Tamandua tetradactyla: one gene and its partners. The protein of the gene in region 2 interacts with the protein of the main gene of each other region in a pairwise test. Links are inferred from orthologs where the notes say so. Each region holds a gene or a part of one and is shown on either strand. Other genes may lie near its edges.

What was found.
Region 1: the proteins of CTBP1 (region 2) and KLF3 interact in binary tests that used the Homo sapiens proteins (3 or more experiments, as listed by UniProt). The link is inferred for Tamandua tetradactyla from reciprocal best matches to the Homo sapiens genes CTBP1 and KLF3.
Region 3: the proteins of CTBP1 (region 2) and NOL4L interact in binary tests that used the Homo sapiens proteins (3 or more experiments, as listed by UniProt). The link is inferred for Tamandua tetradactyla from reciprocal best matches to the Homo sapiens genes CTBP1 and NOL4L.

Annotation. Positions count from the first base shown.
Region 1 is NC_135345.1:40,250,206-40,253,944, reverse strand, and holds the start of KLF3 (Krueppel-like factor 3), read right to left. Parts: upstream 2,795-3,739; 5' UTR 2,683-2,794; coding exon of another isoform or gene 2,450-2,682; 5' UTR 2,369-2,449; exon of another isoform or gene 1,929-2,368; intron 1-1,928. Other genes in the region: uncharacterized protein LOC143663134, read left to right, coding at 2,450-2,682. UniProt on the Homo sapiens protein: Binds to the CACCC box of erythroid cell-expressed genes. May play a role in hematopoiesis.
Region 2 is NC_135345.1:920,430-924,168, reverse strand, and holds the start of CTBP1 (C-terminal-binding protein 1), read left to right. Parts: upstream 1-899; 5' UTR 900-949; coding exon 950-989; intron 990-1,188; exon of another isoform or gene 1,189-1,217; intron 1,218-3,739. UniProt on the Homo sapiens protein: Corepressor targeting diverse transcription regulators such as GLIS2 or BCL6. Has dehydrogenase activity. Involved in controlling the equilibrium between tubular and stacked structures in the Golgi complex.
Region 3 is NC_135327.1:20,508,912-20,512,650, reverse strand, and holds the start of NOL4L (nucleolar protein 4-like), read right to left. Parts: upstream 2,560-3,739; coding exon 2,239-2,559; intron 1-2,238.

The sequences.
Region 1 (3,739 bases), about 39 Mb from region 2:
GCCAATAGCTGGTCTCTAGCCTGATCAAATGATGATTATCATTCTGGCTCAGAGCATCTTGAGGAAAATGAAAATAGAGCACTGCTGTTAAGAATTAAGATTACAACTAGGTTACCACACATAATTGAAAATTAGATCCATTTTAAGGGTCCCTCAGTCACAGAACTAAATTCCGAGACGTGGTCTGTGGCACATCTAGAGTCACCCCAAGTTTTCACTGTCCTTTTCCACCTGCAGTTATAGACACATACGCTCACAGCTGCACATCTGTTTCAATGTACACACGTCTACAGAAATTCACCTTGGATAATGTGATTCCATCCCTGACATTTCACTTAATCCAAAATTGTTATACAATCTGTATACCGACTTTTAAAAGATAGTAATAGGTCTGTTTTCTTTTAGGAATTTTTAAAGTAGAGAAATCCACTCCTAGCTCTTTCCTATTATTTCTCTTTACTCTCTGACTGTTTAACTCAGCTTTTCATTACCAGAGATTTAAGGATCTGTGGGTAGACAAAACTACAGGTTCAAAAAAAAAGGCATCACTGTGCCCATAGCAACCAAAAGACTGGGTTTTAACTTAGAAACTTTGCAGTGAAAAAAAAAACACACAATAGCTTTTGTCAAAGCTATGTTGCTTTTTCATATGGACAAGGTTTTGTGGTCTAAGCAGCCACTTTTTTATTTTTCTAATGGTTATACAGCAAACCCTGAAGAATACAGAAACAGAGAAATCAGTTTCTGCAGAAAGTTTAAATTAATCAAACACTCTGAGGTTCCTATTAATAGCCCAAGGCCAACTCACATACTGCTTGTCTCAAGCCAGAAAAAAACTTATCTGTCAACTTTCTTTAAAAATACGAACTCACAAAATTTTGGAGATATTAATGCTATTAGATTTCTGCTCCCCACCTCCGACCCCAAAGCAAGTCTTCACTATCATCTAAACGGATTTCTCTTATAAAATTTCTCCTCAAATTCATACATAAAGCAATCAGAAAAGGACAGTGCAAAACTGCTCTGTGGAACACCCTATGATAATAAGCAACTGGCCTTTTCCCCACTTGATTTTGCTTAGTAATTACAGATGGTAAATCTAATGAAGTCAGAAGATCACTTTTCCCCAGATACCAGACTCTTTTAAGAACATAATCAATATATTTAAAGCGTCTTGGGTGTATCAATGGAAAAAAAAATCAGTTAAAAAAATCTGTGAAAACGTTTATTTTAGTGACTACAAGAAGGGAAGCAATTTCCATTTAACCTGACTTAAAAGTAAGTCCCATTCACATGTTCTCCGTTTGGTATTATTGTACACTACTGTAAAATTTAAACCAGAAAAAGAGGGTTCTCCCGTTTAAGTGCCAAGGACACGGACATGACAATTACAAGTATTATCTGCTATCACAGAAAAAGAGCCTGAAATGCTGGGTACGTCCCATGGGTGCTGGTCCAGGGATCACTTCTCGGCCCACACCTGGCTCGGGTCCCTAAAGCTGCAGGCATTTGCCCTAAGGTACTCTATACGCCTCCAGCTACACTGCAATCCTCCTTCCAGGCACTGCGGCAGGTTCTTTCCGGGTCCCGAGGAGGACTCTCCAAACCCGGCCAGCTCTTTTCCCCTGCCCAGGAGAATCCGGACGCCCTGCAGCGCCTGGAGCCCTGGACCGAGAACGGGATGCTAACTCCACTCCCAATTGCCCAAGTTTCCTCCCAGACGGCCTGGAGGCTGCTCCAAGTTTGCTCCGCCGGGCAAGCGGCCGCGCGCCCAGTCCGGCAGGGGGATAGCTGGGGGCACCCGCGGAGGGAGGGGAGGGAGCGGGAGTGGGGGGAACCGGGGGGGGGGGAGGGAGCCGGGGGGGGGGGGGAACCGGGAAGGGGAGGAGCAGGAGCGCGCGGCGGCCTCGGCGCTACCTTTCTCCAAACAACGTTGCCACACGCGGCGAACGCTGATTTCTGGGGCTTTGGAGGGAATCGCGGGCGGGCAGGCGGCGGCCCGGGGACCACACAGGTGAGGCCCCGCCTGCGCCGTCCCCGGGCCGGAGGCTGTCTGGGGGGCCGTGGCCGGCGCAGGCAGCCCCACGCCCCTGAACCTCCGGATACGCGCCGTGGATTCCCTCACCGTGACCGGTCCCACTTGTGACCGCTGAGCCCGGGGCCTCCTCCCCCTCGCCTCCCTCTCCGCCCCCACCCCCGGCAGCGAGGAGCTGTTGCACTTTCCCAAGCCCGCAGGCGCCCCCACCCCCACGCTGCACCGTCCCAAGCCCATTCACTACCCCCCTATTAAAAATATTCAACTAGACACGACGAAAAGGGGGTCGATTGGAGTCAGGCGTGAAAGAAAAGTGAGGGAGTGAGGACTTACTTTGAGAACCGCGGTGCTGAGCGCAGCGGACGATAAATAAAGGCCCGGCTCCGGGCTTCCTTAAACCCCACGAATGCAGTAATGTCAGCGCTCCAGTTCGGGCAGCGGCAGCGGCCGCAGGGGACCCGGACGCGCGCGCGTGCGACAGACGCGGTTCGGTTCGGCTCGGCTCGGCGGGCGCTTGCTTTGCGCTCCGGCTCCGGCCCGGCTCCGCGCGGCTCCGTTCCTGGCTCCCCTCTGGCTCCTGGCACCAACTCCGGGCAGTCACATGACGCCGGCGCCGCTCTCTCTGCGAGCCTCCCGAGGCTGGCGGGGTAAGTAGAGGCTGGAACCCGGGGTGGGAGGGTCAGGGAGGGGAGAGGGAGCCGCCGCGGCCGCCCGGGCTGGGCGGGTCCCCACCCACTTGGGTGGAGGCAGCCGCCGGAGGGGTCGGCCGAGTCACTCGCGCAAACACGCACCCCGCCCTGCGCCCTTCCCCCGCCACCCCCGCCTCCCGCGCCGCCTCCGCCCCGCCCCGCCCAGTCACCCGGGGACGGCCTGACAGACAGTCATTATTCCCCGGAGCCGGGCGCCGCCCCGCCGGCCAAACCTGTCCCGCGAGGCGCGGCGCAGCCGTGGGGCTGGGCGTGCACTGCGCGGCCCCCGCCCCAAAAGCTCCCGCCCCCCGCCCTGGCTCGGAGCGGCGGACCCTGAGCGCACGCCCTGCGCCCTCGCCCCGGAGGCCCCGCCCGTGCCCCATCCCCGCACCCTCCGCCCAGCGCCCTCCGCCCTCCTCCCTGGGGCCCGCGCCCCACCCGCCTGGGACCCGCCGCCGCGCCGCCGCCCGAGCCCGGGGGAAAGGAAGGGCGGCGCTGCCCGTTCCGGGCGTCACAGTGCTGCAACCCGCTGCGCGGCTTCCAAAACACACAGCCTTAGACTCGCGGGCGAGCCGAGGCGGGGGACGCGGGCCGGCCGGGGCCATCAATCAGCCGGCTCCGGCGGGAAGGGCGGCCCCGGGCGCGGCGGGAAGGGCTGGGCCCCAAGGCCAGCGCGGCCCCTCCTGGGCCGAGTAAATAAAACTCTCTGAAATTATAAAAAGAAAGAAAGAAAAAAGGCATCGGTGGTGTGGGAGCGGGTGGACGGGAACGGATTCAGGGAAAGAAGGCGGAGGGGAAAGGGGAACGGTGGGTTGCCCCCAAGCCTAAATGGTCCAGAATTTCCAGGGTCGTTCGACATCCTCTTGGCGCGCTCTTTCTTTGTGCCCCGGGGCTCCGGGACCCCCTTGTTGCTTTTTTGAGCGGCCGGAGGCCCCGCTCAGGGCAAACCTCCCACGGGCTTGGCCTGCCCCTGGGGCAGAAAGGCAGCTGCAGAGCGGCAGCATTTGTTCAGCCC
Region 2 (3,739 bases):
TGCGCCCTCCTGTCTCTCCGGCCCCGCGCCCCGTCCCCCCTCCCGCCCCTTGACCCCAGGCCCCAGGCTCTGGTCCCTTGTTCCCCAGCTCCGCGGCCCCCAGGCCCTTGCCTGCATCCTCCAGCCCGGCATCCCCCGACTCCGCGCCCCTCCCCTCATCCCCCAGCCCCGCATCCCCCGGCACCGTGCCACCCGCACCCCCCAGTCCCGCGCACCCTGGCTCCACGCCCCCCCGGGGCCCTTGCCCGCATCCCCAGCTCCGCGACCCCCGGCCCCTTGCCCGCATCCCCCAGCCCCGCATCCCTGGGTCCTGCATCCCCCGACCCCTTGCCTGCACCCCCCAGCCCCCGGTCCCCCGGCTCCACGCCCCCTGGGCCCTTGCCCGCATCCCCCAGCCCCGCATCCCCCGGCACCGTGCCACTCGCACCCCCCAGCCCCGCGTACCCTGGCTCCGCTCCCCCCGGACCCCTTGCCCGCATCCCCAGCTCCGCGTTCCCCGGCTCCGCGCCCCCCGGCCCCTTGCCTGCATCCCCCAGCCCCGGATCCCCCGGCTCTGAGCCCCCCGCATCCCCCGCTCCGCTCCCCCCGCATCCCCCGGGCCCGCATCCCCCGCTCCGCGCCCCCCGCATCCCGGGGCGGGAGGGCGGCGTCGCTGCCAGGCCAGGGCGGGGCCGGCGGGCGCGCCCTGCAGCCGCCCGCGTCGGTCCGGCGCGGCGCGCTCGCCTGGAAACACGAGATTAATGCGGCCGCGCAAGCCCCGCCCGCCGCCGCGCGCCGCCGCCGCTCTGCGTCCCCGCCCGCTCGGAGGCGGCTGCTCGGCGCGGCGCGGCGCGATCGGCTCGGCGGCCCCGGGCGCAGGCGGGCGGAGCAGCGGACGGCGCAGGGCCCAGGCGCCGGGCTCGGCGGAGCGCGCCGCACTCGTCGGGGCCGCGGCCGCCCGCGCCTTTCAATGGGCAGCTCGCACTTGCTCAACAAGGGCCTGCCTCTCGGTGAGCGGGCCGCGCTTCCGGCCGGCGGGGGGCGGCGGCGCGGGGGGCGGGGAACGGCCGGCGGGCGGGGGGCGCGGGGGCGGGCCGAGCGCGCGCCGCGGGCGCCGCTTTGTGTGCGAGTGCGCGTGCGCGCCCGCCGGCCGGGGGCGGGGCCGCGCGCGGGCGCGGGCGCGGGCTGCTGAGTGCGCGTGCGCGGAGCCGCCGTCACGCCCGGCCGGGTCGGCGCAGGTGACACAAAGGGGCCGGCGCGGCGGGAGGGGCAGCCGGGCGCGCCGGCCGTCGGACCCCAGACCCGGCTGTCGTCCGACACCCAGATCCGGGTCCCCTCGGACCCCAGAGCCGTCCCTTTGCACCCCCAGACCCGTCTTCTCGGACCTCCAGTCCCGGTTCCCTCGGACCCCCAGACCCGGTTCTCCTCGGACCCACAGACCCGGTCTCCTTGGACCCGAGACCCGGCCCACGGCCCTGCGGCCTGGTCCTCTCGGACTCCCAGACCCGGGTCTCCTCGGACCCCCAGTCCCGGTCCCCTGGGATCCCCAGTTCCAGCCCACGACCCTGCGGCCCGGCCCCCTCCGACTCCCAAACCCGGTTCCCTTGGACCCCCAGACCTGGTCCCATTGGATCCGCTGATCTGGCCCATGACCCTGCACCCGGTCCCCTCGGACCCCCATTCCTGAGTCCCTCAGATCCCCAGACCCGGTCCCCTCGGACCCCCAGACCCGGTCCCCTCAGACCCCCAGACCCGGTCCCCTCGGACCCCCAGATCCGGGTTGCCTTGGGATCCCCAGATCTGGCCCACGATCCTGTGGCCCGGTCCCCTCAGACCCAGTGTCCTCAGACCCTGATGTCCGGCGGGGCCCCATTGGATCCCCAGACCCAGGTCACATCGAACCCCAGACCCAGAGTTGCTGCCCTGCAGCCCAGCCCTCTCATAGCCCCAGTCCTACAGCTGGCTGGGTGGACCCCCAGATCCAGCCCACAACCCTACTGCCGGGTCCCATCAGACCCCCAGATCTGGCCTGCAGCTCTGCACCCTAACCTCATCAGACCCCCAGACGCAGGTCCTACCATACCTTCAGACCTGGGCCTACCCGGTTCCAGGCTTGTTGGACCTCCAGAACCTGGCCTGCAGTTTTTTGGCCCAGCCCATTTGACCCCCAGTCCCAGGTCCCACTGGACCCTCAGAGCTGCGTTTCATCTTAGATCTGCCCCCCATCCTCGCCCCCCACCCCCGTCCTGGATGTCAGCCTGTGAGTTGCCCCGACCGGTCCCTGCTGGAGCCGGGCTGGCCTCGTTGGGCGGTCAGCAGAGCCTCCTGCTCTGTTTAAGTCGCCTTCCTGTCCTGGAGCCTCCTGCTCTGTTTAAGTCGCCTTCCTGTCCCGGAGCCTCCTGCTCTGTTTAAGTCGCCTTCCTGTCCCGGAGCCTCCTGCTCTGTTTAAGTCGCCTTCCTGTCCCGGAGCCTCCTGCTCTGTTTAAGTCGCCTTTCTGTCCCGGAGCCCGGGTTGGCGTCCGTTGTGTTTGGAGCATGCTGGGGTGTGCTTTTGGTGCTTCTGCGGCGCGCAAGCAGCCGGTTCACCCATCGACTTGCTTTGCAAGAAGGAGACAGCTCTCCCTCCGCCTGGGGATGTTTACTGTGTGTGACCAGGGGTGGGAGTCAGAAGGCGGTCGCGAGTGTGTTGGCCCAGCACTGCCCCCCGCCCGTTTCCTGTGGGTGGGGGTGGGGGCTGCTGGCCGACCCGGGCCTCTGTGACGTCCGAAGGCGAGGCGGCCGGCCCTCAGGTTAAGGGAGGTGACCCCAGGCTGCCGCTGTCGCACCGCAGCCCAGCTTTGCCCTTAGGCCTCTTGCTTTGAATTTTTTTGTCCCCGGTTTGTGTGTGTAAAATTAGGACGCAGCTGTCCGGCGGGCGGGAGGGCAGCCGTTCCCTCTGTGCTGCCGGCTGGAAGGCCCAGGCATTGGCCCTGCGACGTGGGTGTGTGGGGTGTGTCCGTGTCCCCCCGTGGGTGGAGGGGCCGCTGCTGGGGCACCCCCGCGGGCACCCCAGCGACACAGAGTCTGTGCATCACGAGGCACCTTGGTCTCCCCTCCTGGCATCCGAGCGCCAGCGCAGGGCCCTTCGGCTCCAGGCCCAGGCGAATGCAGGCCTTGCTCTGAGCGGCCCTCACCCAGGCCACTTTGTCACTTGCGCACGGCCCTCCGTGGCCATTTTGCAGTTCCTGGTCGCGTCCCCGCAGCGTGGCCTTCCTCGTGGCAGGAGCACTTCCGGGGTGGAGCGTCCCCGGGTCCTGCCTGGCCCGCCCGCCTCGGCTGCCCCCTCCTCGGCCCCTCCCTGTGCCCGCAGCGGCAAGGTCAGGCGGGAGCCGGGGGAGGGGGCCGCACCTGAGCCGGAGGCTTGGAGACTGGAACCTTCCCTGGCAGGGTGCCCAGCCCGGCCTTTGCCTGGGGACCTGCTTAACCCTTTGCTGCCTGCTGGAAGAAGGGCCGCCCCAGGAGGGACAGGGAACCCGTGGGCGGCCCTGGCTGTGGCCGTGGCCCTGCGGCTGAGCTGGGCTGTCACTCTTGCCACAGGGAAGCCAAACACGTCTAGCTTTCTGGGGTTTCCCTCCGTGGCCGCCGCCCTCCAGGGTCAGGCCGTGGGCCTGGAGGTGGCCGTGCCTGGGGAGATTGGGGGCTGCAGAAGCTGTAACCCTCCGCCCTGCAGCTCCCTCCCTCTCTCTACCTCCCCGTCCCCGTTCTCTCCTGCTGGGGAACC
Region 3 (3,739 bases), on a different chromosome or scaffold from region 2:
AGGGCAGGTCACTGCGGGCATGAGAAGGGTCTGAAGCTCTGTGCTGGGCTGGCAGGACCTGGTGTCCAGGCCTGGCACTCAGTTTCTGCATGTGATCTGGACGGGGCCTGGGGGGTGGGGGTGTGCACTGCCTTGACAGCTGTGTGGCTGGGGGTTGGGGGAAGGCTGCCCACTCCCTAGGAGAGAGGTCCACCGAGTGCGTCAGCTGCCAGGTCACAGGGAGGGAGACACCCACCCCACCCCCAACTCCAGGAGTGCATGGAGTGGGGGCTCCTGCTTTCTAGGGCAGGAATAACTAAGATGGGGTGGGAAGGCATGACCCTGGAAGCTGGGATAGCTGGGGGCACTGATCCAGGGTGGGGTGCATAGGCCCAGTCAACCATCTGTGGGTTGCTGACCTCAAAAAACTACATTTAGGCTGGGGGCACTGACCCAAAATGGAAGAGAACCTAGGTGGGTCCCCGACAGGCAGGCAGGGGGTGGGGGTGGGGGGGTGGTTTGACCTAGGGAGGTGCAGTGATCCAAACTCTTCGGGTGGGAGAGTTGGTAATGATATGGCCTGGGCGTGGGTGGGGAGGGGTCCCGGACTCCACTGGGAGAGGGGACAATGGCCCGGACTGGCTGGGTGAGGGGGAGAGCACTGATTTAGGCTGGGGGAGCCCCTGACTCGCTCGGCAGAGGGGCGCGGCCCCAACCTCTCCCTCTGGGACTCCGGCCTCGGCGCGCCCCTCGGCCCGGCCCTCGGTCTCCGCTCCGGCCGGAGGCGGCAGCGGCGCAGATGGGCTGCTGGCGGCCGCAGCGGCATCGGCGCGGTTATCAGCGCTCCTCGCAGATGTGCCGCCCGCCCGCCCTCGGCGCTCGCGGCTCCCCGCTCCCCGCGGCCTGCAGCCCGGTCCCCTGGGCGCGGCGGGAGGCGCCTCCGGATCCGCTCCCCGGCTCCCGCCTCCTCCCTCGCGGCCCCCTCACCCCGCGGGCCGGGCCCGGGCAGCCTCCGGAGGGGGAGGGGGAGGGGACAAGTGCACTTTTCGTAACGACCGAATCAATTGTGTGTGAAGAGCCCGCTCCGGCCGGGGCCGCGGCTGAGCGCGGGGCGGGCGGGCCGGACGGGGGAGGAGCGCGGAGGGGGAGCGGGGGAGAAAGGGAGGGAGGGAGGCCGGCGCGGGGCGGCCCCGTTCGCTCGCTCGCTCGGGCCGGGCGAGGCCGGGAAGGGAGCGAGGGGGGCAGGGAGGCGGCCGGGCCGGCCGGGGGCGGAACGCACTAATGGAGGGTCTCGGCGACGGAAAGTTCAAAGCTCAGCGGCACCCCGGGAGCGGCCGCCCCCCAGCCCCCACCCGCTGCAGAACAATGAGGTCCCGGCGGGGGAGCCGCGGGGCCCGCGCCGCACGCCCTCTCCAGGGCGCCCCGGGCCGGAGGGGACGCCCCCGCCCGGCCGGCCGCCTCCTCCTCCTCCTCCGCGGCTGCGGTTCCCCGCCCCCTCCCCACCCCCACCCCCGCCACTCCGTCGGGACCGGGCCGGCCCGGGGGACGGGGGAGGGGAGGGGATGGATAGGTCAGGCCGCCCCCGCCCCAGGGAGGAGGGGGAAGCCAGGGGCCCGGGGGGCGGAGGGGGCGCCCCACCCACCCGCGGCAGGCTGCTCCTGCGCCAGGCTGCGGCTCGGGCCGCCCCTCCCCGGGCTAGCCCCGGGTGGGGTCGGGCGGCAGTGCCCGGGCGGGCCCCCTCCCTTGGAGCTGGGAGGCCAAACGGACTCCACGTCCCAGGGCTGCTCCTGCTCATTCCCCCCACCCGCGACACTCCCGCCCCCCCGTCACACACACACACACACACACACACATACACACACACACACACACACACACCGCCCAGCCTGCCCGGGGGCGGGAGCGCGAGGCGCCCGGGACAGGCAGCCCCGGGGCGGGCGGGGGGAAGCTCGGGCTTTGGAGCAGCCGCCTGCTGGCGGGGGGAGGGGACGCGAGGACGGAACATGCTGGGGTGAGCAGCCCGGGACAGCCCGCCCGGCACGGCCGCAGCCCGGGCAGCGGCGCCGAAGGGGTCAGGGACGCCCCGAACCCGGAGCGCGGCTGGGGCGGGCCAGGGCGGACCGGCGAGCAGGGACGCGTGCGCCCCAGGCGGGCCAGACACACGGACAGCCTCAGGGACACACGTTAGGGCACACATCCACACCCGCACCCCGCCCCCGCCCGCCCCGGGACCGGCCCGTAGCCGCCGCGCGCACTCACCGAGCCCGTCTTGACCGGCACATACACCACTTGGCCCATCTTGGGTTCCCGGCCGCTGCCCAGGCGGAAGCCCTTGGAGCGCACCCAGAACTGGAACTTGCCTTTCTCGCCGGCCGCGGGGCCGCTGCCAGCGCCGGTCCCGCCGCCGCCCTGCAGGACCTCGGCGATCCGCTGGTATTTGCTGCGTGTCACCGTCTTGGTTTTGGCCGAGTCGCCGTAGGTGCGCAGGCACCAGTCCCGGAACTGGCGGCCCAGCTCAGAGTCCCCGGGGCTGCGCTCGCGCTCCCAGCCCCCGCGCAGCAGCAGCGTCGGCTTCGGCATCCTCCCGCCGCGCCCGGCGCCCTCGGGGGCGGGCCGGCCGTTGGGCCGCCCGGGGCCGGGGCTGGGCTGGGCTGGGCCGGGCCGAGCCGGGACGCGCCGCGGCCGGGCCCGTCCCGCGGTGTGGCTCCGGCGCGGCTGCTTGCTGGGTGCGGGCGGCGGCCGGACGCGCGGGGCTGCGGCGCGCTCTGTCCTGCTCGGGCGGCGGCGGCGGCGGCGTTGGCGGCGGCGGCTCCGGCTCGCCTCCTGCTCCGCCTCCTCCTCCCCCCGGCCGGGATGCAGGAGCGATGGAGGCAGCTCCGGGCCCGGAGGTGCAGAGGGGGCGGACCGCCCCGCGGGCGGCCGGGGGAGGCGGGAGGCGGGGAGCGGCCCCGGGCGCAGGGAGCGAGACCGAGCCTGGGCGCGGGCGGCGGCGGCTGTCAGCTCGCGCGGCTCGTCCTGCTCTGCTCCGGCTCCCGCTGCCGCTGCTCTTCCTCCTCCTCCTCCTCCCGCGCCCGCCTCCTCCACGCCGCGGGATCCCACCTGTTAGAGCGGCGCAGCCTTCGCCGCCGCGACACCCCCCCCCCCGCCCCACTCCCTCCCGCGCCCGCCCGCTGGACCCAGCCTCCGCCCCGTCCTGGCCCCTGGGGGCGCGGGGGCCGCCGCGCCCAAAGCCGCGGGGAGAGCAGAGCCGCAGGCGCGCAGTGCCTGGCCCAGGGACCGAGTTCCCTCCGGCCCGGCTGGGCCCCGAGCTTCGCAGGCCTCTGTCCGCCCGGCCGGGCCGCCCCACGGGGAGCAGGGCGCAGACCTCGGTCTGGCCACCCGCGCTGGGGCCTCCCTGGGCCGCCCCGCCCCGCTTAGCCCGACCCGGCCGGTCAGGGCACGGGGCCCCTCCCTCCCACAGGGCCTGGCCTGCAGGGTCCCGAGCAGAGCAACTAGCCTGACCTCTCCGCCCGCACCCGGCGTCAGAGGGCCCCCGGCGGAGAGCCAGAGGAACAGTATTCTCCTGGGGAACCCCAAACCGCCGCCCTTGGGGGCCTCCAAACTTCCTCCCCTCTTGCCTCCTCCTAAATTCCCCGAAGTTTGGCCGGCCTTGCCCCTGCCGGCCCCACTGCTCTGGGGCAGCCCCAGGCCCCAGGGAGCTCCACATGGGCTCAACACACTAATTCATCTGAGACACCAGGCTTCGGGGATGCACCTTGGC